Nothobranchius furzeri: one gene and its partners. The protein of the gene in region 3 interacts with the protein of the main gene of each other region in a biochemical or structural test. Links are inferred from orthologs where the notes say so. Each region holds a gene or a part of one and is shown on either strand. Other genes may lie near its edges.

Region 1 (4,204 bases), on a different chromosome or scaffold from region 3:
TGGAATTACTAATCTGTTAAATCTGCTCTTTCCTCTCGTCTACGTTACGGAAAGGTTCGGCTGCTCGCCCCTCTGGCTGCCGTTTCTACCGAGGTCGATGCTAAGATTAAAGCTAATCTGAAGAACTGGTCCAACCAATAAAGCTCCCTCAATCCTAAACTCCTGGATTAAGAACGTGCGTTCTCCTCCAGCTAGATGCTCTCCATGGCTTTGAACTCGCTCAGAGCCTGCACAGGGTTCACGTGCTTCTTCTGAGAAGACCTCTTGACCTTGTTGGTCTGCCCGTCGTCCTGCTTCTCTCTCTTAACCAGAGGCTTCTTCTCGGGAGCTTTCATCTTCCAGGAGATGGCCGGCATGTTGAGGGACTCCATGGCCTTGGTCTTCTGGTATTTGGTGGAAGCCACGTAAGATGCCTTCACTGTGGACACCACGGCGTTCATCAGGTTCTTTGCAGCCTGAATCAGAGACATGGCGCTGTCCAGCCCAGAGACGACCAGTTCTCCTCCCAGGTTCTGGACCTCCGCTTTGACTTTGCTGCAGATGTTGAGCTGATGGCAATACAAGGAGATACGCTGCAGGTAGGCCAGCAGGTCCTGCTTGCAGGATGAGTCGGGACAATTGTCGGCAATGGTGCGGCCCAGTTTGTCCATTCTTGATCCGGTCTCGGCTATTTTTTTGGCAGCACTGATGACATCAGACGTGTTCTTCAGTGGCCCCTTTCCCCTGGTGAAGTCCGTCATCTCCATCATGATCATGCACATCTGCTTGGCTAACACGATGATGTCATTGCCGCTGTCATCCCACTTGGACACCTCTGCGTCCAGCTTGCTCTTCTCCTCCTGGAAGCTAGCCACCTGTTCAGCGATCTTTGCTTTCTGCTCCTGCGGCAGCTGAGCCATGATGGCGCGTGCGCTTTGGCCCTCAATGCGCTGGTCGTCCTCGGTCTGCACGCTGGTTTTGCTGCGTGTGTCAAAGTCTTCGGTCTCAAAGTCTGAATCGTCCAGTTCTTCTGGAGTTCTGATCATGAGGATAGCCTTGCGTATGTCCCGAATGCCGTCGTACACCAGACGAGACGCATCGATGAACTCGTTCTCGTCCACAGGCTGAGAGGGGTTTGTGCTTAGGGCCTCAACCGCAGACTCGATTTGTTCGGTGAACCGTGGCATGACCGTGTTGGTCAGGAGCTTGGTGGCCTCCAGAACCTTCTCCGTGTAGACCCCCGGTTCATAGTTGTCCATCTCAGAAGTGACAACATGAACGACTCTGGCGGCCCGGCCTCGAATAGCGCCGGCGGTGCGATCCAGACCGTCAACATCCTTCTCTTGAAGCGCGATGACACACTTATTCACGTCCTCTAGGATGTGGTTCTCAGACACACAAAGGAAGTCATCGATTGATGTTATGTCATCAACAGCATCAGTGAGGACACGGACCTGCTTCTCCCACTGATCTTTGAATGCGTCCATGTTGTCCTGGGCCACCTTACTGTGGGGCTTGGCAGCAAGGGCCAGCGCTGCGTTGATCACCTGGGGGCACAGGGTTTCCAGCTGGGATGCTGCCATGCGCACCAGTTTAACCCCCTCTTCATTATTGGAAATGGAGCACGCCAGGTTGGCTACCTCGATCAGCTTGTTGGCGTGTTCGCGAAAGACTTGAGCGTATTCCTTTACTTCCTTTTCGTTGCCATTCTTCGCGGCTTCGATCAGGACCAGGAGGGGGACGTTTGTCTCCAGGAACGAGTCCGAGACGTGGTCCATGACAGCTTTACGGAGCTGCCTGCGGAGGTCTCTGGTCTTCTTCGTCATCCTGTCGATGGCTGTGTTCAGAGCGTCGCTCCTCTCCTTCCTCCCCGCATTCCCCATGTACTCTGACAGGAGGTCCTGCAGAGCCTGGCGCACTGAGTTGCATTCAGCAACAATGCGCTCCCTGCGGTCATCGCGTGTGCAGGAAGAGTCAGCCATGAGTGCAGCTCCGCTGATGATGCTCTCCAGGCGCTCCTCGAGAGAAGGACGAAAGCGCTCCTCGCTGAATGCCAAGGGGTCCACAATGATTTGTTTATCAAAATTGTTGAGGGCATAAGCCAGCTCTCCGGCCCCTCCCGGCTGGCTCAGCGCCGAGTCTTCGGTGCTCGTGGCCTGGGCAGCGTTGGAGATTCCTGAGACCGCATGCTGGAGCTGCTTGTAGATCAGGTCACGGTTAGCCTTGTAGGCCGCCACATCAGGATGCTGCAGGCAGGCACAGGTCGCTTTGTAGAGCAAGGGGACGTTCCTTTGGAGCAATCCACGTGCAGCAGCCATTTGGTCCTTGTGCTGGACGTCCTTTAGCTCCTGCTGCCTCTTAGCAGCCATGTGGTTCAGCTTGTCCACCTCTGGGATCAAAGCCTTATACTGGATCCCCAAATCCTGCTCTGTTCCAGCGCCGCACACTTTAGCCATGCCATCTTCAACCAGCTTAAGCTGCACCAGGAGTTTGTAGACATCAGACATGTCTGCCAGGACCAGCAGATGTGTAACCGCTGAGAGGAGGGCCCTGGCGGCACGGACCATGGTGCCCCTCTTCACAGAGGAGCAGGGGTCTTCAACAAACTCTCCAGAAGCCTGGCGCATGGAATTACCTTGGTTACGGACATCCTCCACAGCCTCGGTCAGCTCTTCCTTGAGGAACTGACTTTCTTCTGCAATCTTTTCTCCTTTTTCTAGGAAGTTCTGGGTGGCCTTCTCCACTGAAGCAGCCAAAACATGAGCCTTCTTGGAGCGTCCCTTCTTCTTGTTAGATGGACCTTTGTTGCTGGAGTTGACCAGAGTGGTGACCTGGGCGACAAGCGGCTGAAGGAGCTTCTCCACTGCCAGAGTCCGGATCTCCAGACTCTTGGGGTCCCATTTAAAGTTGATGTTGGGAGTGTTGACGCTCGTCATCGTGTGGTTTTTACACAATCCGCTGAAGACGAACCGGAGTGCAAAAGTTCAAAATGGAGAACGTCCGGAATCCTCTCCTGAAAAGTTTTCCTCTCTTCTCGGGCTCCGTGTGACGTAGCTCTCGACTTTTGGCTGGCTTTGCTTCTTTTCGGGGGGAAAAAACAACCTCCACGCTTCAAAACAATAAGCGCCTGTGTAAAGTCTTCTGAGCGGTACCGAGGGAATAGTTTCGGTGTGAACCGTTTCGGTGAGGCAGACTCTCGCCCAACAATGGCTAAAGTGGAGTGGAGGAGGGGTGGGGGCAGGGCGGTGACCGAGTTTCCCAACTTCCTGGCAGCGGAGCGGGGCGGCGACAGGCTGCAGCAGGCCCGGAAGCCTGTTGGGAACCTTGTTTGGAACATTTCTGTTGGAACTGGGTGTGTCCGACTCCAGAGCCTGAATGCCCGAGAGTACGTGTCCTTGCTCGACCGATAAGACCGGCGGTCGGACGGTCTGGCCTCCCCCTCCACTGCAGCCTGTAGGTCCCGTTACCTAGCAACCGTGGCGGCAGCTAACAGCTAAAGCTAGCGATAATAGAGCAGCCCCCCCTCCCAGCAGCTTTACCTTCACCAGGTTTGTTCCTCAGGCTGGTGAACAACCTGGGTGAAGTCATCTAGTTTAGTCTACAAGCCTTCAGGACTTCCATGTTGACGTTAGTTTCAGGATGGTTGGTGGGTAAAGGCCACTAGAGTATTAAAATGTGGATAATTATGAACTATATACATTTTAACTACAGCAGGACCTGCTCTCATGTGGTTTTTACAACTCCTTAATCTGTTTTAAAGTGGGTGTAAAAGCTTTAAAAACAGACTTAAGTTGACAGTGGCATTAGATCTTTCCTAAATCTGTGAACCATCTGTAGTTTTTATTATACCCTGCTTTCTTTTAACAGAAAATAACTGTTGTTCTGCCGTGTAACATTCAGAAAGGGTCCACTTTGACCACATAGTGACCGGTCACTGAGACATCATTAAATACGCAGTAGTTCCGCTGTAAAGTGACACTACAGCAGGTTATGTTTTAAATTTAACAATAAAAACTATTTTCTCCCCGTTAATACATGTCAGCATGCACCATCCTGCACATTTCCCTCAGCGCTGGTGACATTGTGGCCTTGGAGGATGAGCGAGCGATGCTGTAGGTGAGAGGCTGGTATGGAGGCAGTCAGCGGTCCAACCCACGACTTCTGTTAACTTATTTATGTAGGAATCCATGAAAAGAACATGCTGCCCTTTTAATTAAGAGTCACA
Region 2 (2,347 bases), on a different chromosome or scaffold from region 3:
TCCTCTCTTCTTCAGATGGAGGTGATGATGGGAGACTCGCGTCAGTCGGTGGCCACCCTGCAGACCCAGCTGGAGGACTTCAGGGAGCGATCGAGGAAGGACCTGCTGGAGGCGCAGAGGAACAACAAGGACAGGCTGGCTGAGCTGCAGAGGGCTCAGAATAACCTGAAGGCCCAGCAGGAGGAGGTGGGATTAAAATATCGCAAAGTTTCATCCAGCTCTGACCTTCAGCTCTTGCTGGGTAGGTTCGCGGCTGAGTGTGAAGCGGCTGGGATGAGAATCAGCACCTCCAAATCTGAGACCATGGTCCTCGACCGGAAAAGGGTGGCTTGCCAACTCCGGGTCGGGGGAGAGGTCCTACCTCAAGTGGAGGAGTTTAAGTATCTCGGGGTCTTGTTCACGAGTGAGGGTAGGAGGGATCGGGAGATCGACAGGCGGATTGGTTCGGCGTCTGCAGTGATGCGGACGCTGAGCCGATCTGTCGTGGTGAAGAGGGAGCTGAGCCAGAAAGCCAGGCTCTCGATTTACCGGTCGATCTACGTCCCAATCCTCACCTATGGTCATGAGCTTTGGGTAATGACCGAAAGAACGAGATCGCGGATACAAGCGGCCGAAATGAGTTTCCTCTGTAGGGTGGCTGGGCTCAGCCTTAGAGATAGGGTGAGGAGCTCAGACATTCGGGAGGGACTCGGAGTAGAACCGCTGCTCCTCCGGATCGAAAGGAGTCAGTTGAGGTGGTTTGGGCATCTGGTCAGGTTGCCTCCTGGACGCCTCCCTGGGGAGGTGTTTCAGGCATGTCCTGCCAGCAGGAGGCCCCCGGGTCGACCCAGGACACGTTGGAGAGGTTACATCTCCAATCTGGTCCGGGAACGCCTTGGGGTCCTGCCAGAGTAGCAGGTGGAGGTGGCTGGGGTGAGGATGGCCTGGAGCTCCCTAGTTGGGATGCTGCCCCCGCGACCCAGACCCGGATAAGCGGAGGAAGACGACGACAAAGTGCATGTTTAGAGGAGCTTTACTAGTCTTAGAAGAAAATATAAATAAAAAATAAACGCAGCTTGCCACCACGTTGCATCATCTTTCTCATCAACCTCCAAGCATTTCAGATCTGACAAGTTTGTTTGGAAAGATGAGATATCTTCATTTTTATACTAATTTTTAGGTTTCCCGTCTGAAGAAGGAGCTGCTGACGTGCAGTGAGGAGAGAGACAGCGCTCAGCTGGAAAGAGACCTCCTCAACAACCGTCTGAAGCACCTAGAGGGCGAGCTGGAGTCAGAAAAGAGCTCACACACCGACCGCAGCCGCGAGATCAGATCCCTGGAGGTGAGGCTTCTCGGGTCAAAGGTCACGACTAGGGAGATGGCTGGAACAGTTTCTAGTTGATAAAAATTCTGTTTGTGTTTGCAGGATAAAGTTAAAACTCTGGAGTTGGAGGTGGACGAGGAGAGGAGCAGCGTGGAGCTACTGAATGATCGCATAAGCCGAACCAGAGATCAGGTGCAGCATCAGGATATTTGAATACGAATGCAAATCATATGGAGGCACGCAGATCTGAAAGACTTACTGAAAACGTTCCTTTTTCTTTCTTTTGCAGGTGGATCAGCTGCGATCTGAGCTGATGCAGGAGCGCTCGGTCAGACACGACCTGGAGATGGACAAGAGCGCTCTGGAGCGACAGGTACGTCGTCCCAGCAACAGGGAAACGAGATTCCGGTAAGGTCGTTTAATAATGTCCGCGCCGCGCTTCGTCTCACAGGTGAAAGAGTTAAAGTCCCGCGTCGCCGACATGGAGGGACAGACTCGACCGTCGGCTGCAATCACGCTGCTGGAAAACAAGATTCAGGAGCTGGAGGAGCGGCTGCGCAGCGAGGAGCGGTAACGGGAGTTTCTCTAAATCGCACAAAACAAATGTGAACTCAAATGTTTAGAAAAATTTACCAAAACAAGAATTAGTTGGTGAAATTAGTTTGATAAAGGCATGAAAACATGAAAAATCACATCTTCAAATTTTTATCTTAATTAACTAATTCTGCTACAGTTGGCTCTGGAGTGGCGAAATGAAGGTTGCCAACAAATATTCAAGAATAATTATTGATGACATAACTTAAGGTTTGGCAACCCACAGAGGGGTCCCAAGTCCTACTTTTGGGAAACGGTAACTTAACAAGCACCAGGAAGTAAAAGAGAAAAGGAAAAAAAAAAAGAGTAACAAAAAAGGAAACAAAAAGAATTTTTTTAAAAAAGAGAGAAAAGGAAAAAAGAAGTGAGAATAAAAAAAGAAAAGGGGGGAAAAACAAGTCCCAGTTTAATATTTCAGTCTGACTCCATTTTTGTGTTTTTCACAAAATA
Region 3 (3,655 bases):
TTGGCCCAAATTTTCTTACCAGTTCAATCCTTACTTGTAAGATAAATGTGGCTTTAAAGACTAAGTCACCCCCTACCAGAGTATTACTCCACTCCCACTTCCTGTTTGAAAAATGCAACAAATGCTGTTGCCTAGCAGACCGAGAGGGCGGAGCTGCTAACAAATACACACACACAGGCTCACATTGACATTGTGACATCATATGGTACCAGCTAACGTTCTAGGGTACCTCTTAGCCAATAGCGATGGCAAATTTAAATTCAAGTTTAGTGCAGAGTTTTTACCTGACAATGGCACAACACTGCCAGTTTTAGGCAGAACATTTAAATTTTAACTAAAATGCACTAAAGTGCAAAACTATTGACTACACGTGTCTGCATCACGACTAGACACGCATTTATATAGTTTATCAGGAAAAAAAGTTGATTTGAGGGTGACTTGCTCTTTAAAGATCTTTCTGTTGCATGTGAAAACTTAAAGGAGCAATAAGTAAGAATTCAATAGTGAATTAATCACAAAACAGTCTGTCTACATCGTGTTGGAAGGAAGGTCACACTCACAGGTTTCATCCTCAGCTGGCTGCTGGGGCTAGAAGCTAATCATCACAGGAAGCATCGGGGCTCGCGTTATTCAGGGAGTTAAACATCAACGTTGCATTTTTTACCCAAGAAAACGTTTCTTCTTTAACGCAGAAACGACTCTAGCTGGGATTAAGTAATCATCTCCTGTCTTATTTTAAATTTCCGTAGCATTTTCTTCATCACAGTTCAGGCTGGTTACCAAAGACACCAGGAGGAGGGCGACATTAAAGCTGCCAGTTTGGCTGAGAATGTGTTTTACTCATGTCTGCACATGCTGCAAGTGATCGGGTCAGGGAGGCTGCAGATTATGATCTGTAGTGTCTTTGTGCGGGTCTGGGCTCTTTGCAGTCGAGCATGAGGGAGAAACATGTCTCAGATGTGAAATAAATGTGATTTTGAGTGTAAAAATCATGTCTCTGGTCTAGAAGGTTCAAGCCTTTTTAGAGCATCTAAAAATGGACCTTTCTGCCTGGTGAATCCCATGTGAGTGTGCAGACTTTCTGTTGGGTTTAACAACACGCCAGCAGAGATGTTCCCTTTAAACATTCATCACCTCCTCTTAAAAGTTTAAAATGTGAAGATCACAGCACACTTGGTGGGATTAACTTTTGAGGGAGTAATGTGGAGAAATTGGTGCTGGAAGCGATAATCTGTTGGTTATAATGTTTAGTTGCGTTTTGAGAAAAGGATGGACCTACATGACTCGCAATACGACCAGGATGTGAGTTATGGGTGAAAGAAGGATTTGTGTTTCCTCTTCAGTCAAAAACATGTGTGTTGTGTACCTTATCAAAATAAAAGCATCAAATACAATAGATTGCTTATTAATGTGACCGTGTGAGCGTCCTGTCACAGTATCCCGACTGATCCTGCGCCCTGGCTACTTGCCAAGGGGATGTCCCTTTGGCTGACTGGTTAGCATGCATGACTCTCACCCGGGAGTCTGGGGATCGAATCCCGCCTGGGCCCTCGTTTCTCCACCTTGCCACATTAAGATTCGTGTTCACTTTGAGTTTTTCATCCTTACAATTCAAATCAATTCAAGTTTATTTATAAAGCGCCAAATCACAACAAGAGTCGTCTCAAGGACCTTCACACAGTAAACATTCCAACACAGGTCAGGTCATTAAGCCAATCAGTAAAAAGTTTCCTATGTAAGGAACCCAGCAGGTTGCATCAAGTCACTGACTAGTGTCAGTGACTATACAGCAATCCTCATACTAAGCAAGCATGCAGCGACAGTGGAGAGGAAAACTCCCTTTTAACAGGAAGAAACCTCCAGAGGATCCTGGCTCAGTATAAGCAGCCATCCTCCACCACTCACTGGGAAGAATACACACACACACATGCAGACATACACACGCATACACACGCGCATGCACGCACACACACACACACACGCACGCACGCACGCACGCATCTGTCTTTCTATCGTAATCCCCCCATTGACTTTGATTCTTTTTTTTGTGATTTCACCATGCCTAACCCATACCATAACCAATGCTGATCTGTTCCTAACCCATTCACACCAGACCTCTAACTGATATAGTAAGCTTCTAAAAAAAATGAGGACCCAAAAAATGTCCTCACATTGTAGGGAGAGTGTTCAAAATGGTTCTCAGAATGTAGTATGTACAAGAACGCACACACACACACACACAAACACACACACCACACACACACACACACACACACACACAAAGTGTGTGTATTTCTTAGTAAATATTCTATTTGGTGAGAGAAACACATGAACAAATGAACATCAAGTGGATTAAATTAAGTCTGGGCGATGTGGCCTAAAATAAATATCACGACATATCGAGTTAAACTCTAACGTAAATAAACAATAACTACATGCACAAAAGCACTAGATGGGGCCGTCACGGGTATTACGTAGAGTTACGTTGTCATGTGACTGGAGATGGTCCAGCTAGTTAAAGGGACATGAACTTCACCAACTTACACGCATCTATTCTTTTATTTATTTATTTTTATTTATTTTTTTTACTATCGAATTAATTGACATGGGGAAAAATGGTTTTGGTTAGAAATGACCGATGGATACATTTTTGAGTTATCGCCTAGTCCTAGATTACATTGTTTATGTGATTGTTAGCAACATTTGGTCAGTTTTGCAGCCTTGCAGTACACGATATCATAAACTACACCGGTCAGCCTAGAGAAGCTGAAACTCCCACTGAAGAACAGGGTTTTCTGCTCGGTTTCACCTTTTGGGCTGATGACCTGTCACTTTTTTGTCCCAGATCTGTGTAAAAAATTAATGTGTTTTCCTTCCATCCACAGGGACCAGGGTTGCTCCGACCCGACCAGTACTGACCTACTGAAGTCTGGCCGTAAGTTCTGCTGGTCCAGAGAGACCCATTACTTGTATCTTCACCGCCTCTCTTCAAGAAGTTTCTCAGCCATCACTATGGTAGGACACTTCTCTGATGTTTATTATTGATGAGAGGGAAGGAATGGAGAATCATTTGGTTCTGTGAGAACATGGGTCAGGGTTTCAGTTCAGTTGTCTCCGGGTACGATCCATCCAACGGACTTCACTTAAAGATGTTGGTAAAGGAACAGAAGTCAGAACAATCTCAGTTGGGAGACTCGGAGAGGATTTCTCATGTGGGAGTTGAGCTGCTCCTACAAGAAATCTACTATGGCAGTTTCAATGATCTATAATAAAGGGATGTTCTTACACTTAAGTGTGTTTCTGTTTAAAATTTGTAAATTCTTATTTTACCCATTGTAGAAGGCTTTCTGAAGGGCCTCTGCTCAGAGAAATGGTTCACATCCATCAGGACTAACGAGCTAACGGCTAGTTTGAGGGAAGACCATACCAGAGTGTATTAAATCAGATGGAGATAACTTTAAGACGCTTACATTCCTCCAAACTGATAAAATACGCATTTTAATTAGATTCCTAAGAAGTTCATTTTTATTTTCATGTTGCTTGTATTTGTCCTCTAATTGATTTTTTTCTGCTTTTTTTTTGTCTTAAACATTTTTTGGGTAATATAAAATTCCTCAAAAGTAAATAGTTTTTCTTGAAACTAAATTATATGATT

Evidence for each region.
Region 1: the proteins of tjp2a (region 3) and ctnna1 form a complex in vitro, tested with the Homo sapiens proteins (2 studies listed by BioGRID and IntAct, with this or other methods). The link is inferred for Nothobranchius furzeri from reciprocal best matches to the Homo sapiens genes TJP2 and CTNNA1.
Region 2: the proteins of tjp2a (region 3) and cgnb form a complex in vitro, tested with the Homo sapiens proteins (2 studies listed by BioGRID and IntAct, with this or other methods). The link is inferred for Nothobranchius furzeri from reciprocal best matches to the Homo sapiens genes TJP2 and CGN.

The regions. Positions count from the first base shown.
Region 1 is NC_091748.1:78,693,616-78,697,819, forward strand, and holds the start of ctnna1 (catenin alpha-1), read right to left. Parts: upstream 2,916-4,204; coding exon 192-2,915; 3' UTR 1-191. UniProt on the Homo sapiens protein: Associates with the cytoplasmic domain of a variety of cadherins. The association of catenins to cadherins produces a complex which is linked to the actin filament network, and which seems to be of primary importance for cadherins cell-adhesion properties.
Region 2 is NC_091759.1:4,162,577-4,164,923, forward strand, and holds part of cgnb (cingulin), read left to right. Parts: intron 1-15; coding exon 16-186; intron 187-1,159; coding exon 1,160-1,321; intron 1,322-1,405; coding exon 1,406-1,495; intron 1,496-1,592; coding exon 1,593-1,676; intron 1,677-1,754; coding exon 1,755-1,873; intron 1,874-2,347. UniProt on the Homo sapiens protein: Probably plays a role in the formation and regulation of the tight junction (TJ) paracellular permeability barrier.
Region 3 is NC_091746.1:73,933,059-73,936,713, reverse strand, and holds part of tjp2a (tight junction protein ZO-2a), read left to right. Parts: intron 1-2,885; coding exon 2,886-3,015; intron 3,016-3,655. UniProt on the Homo sapiens protein: Plays a role in tight junctions and adherens junctions. Acts as a positive regulator of RANKL-induced osteoclast differentiation, potentially via mediating downstream transcriptional activity.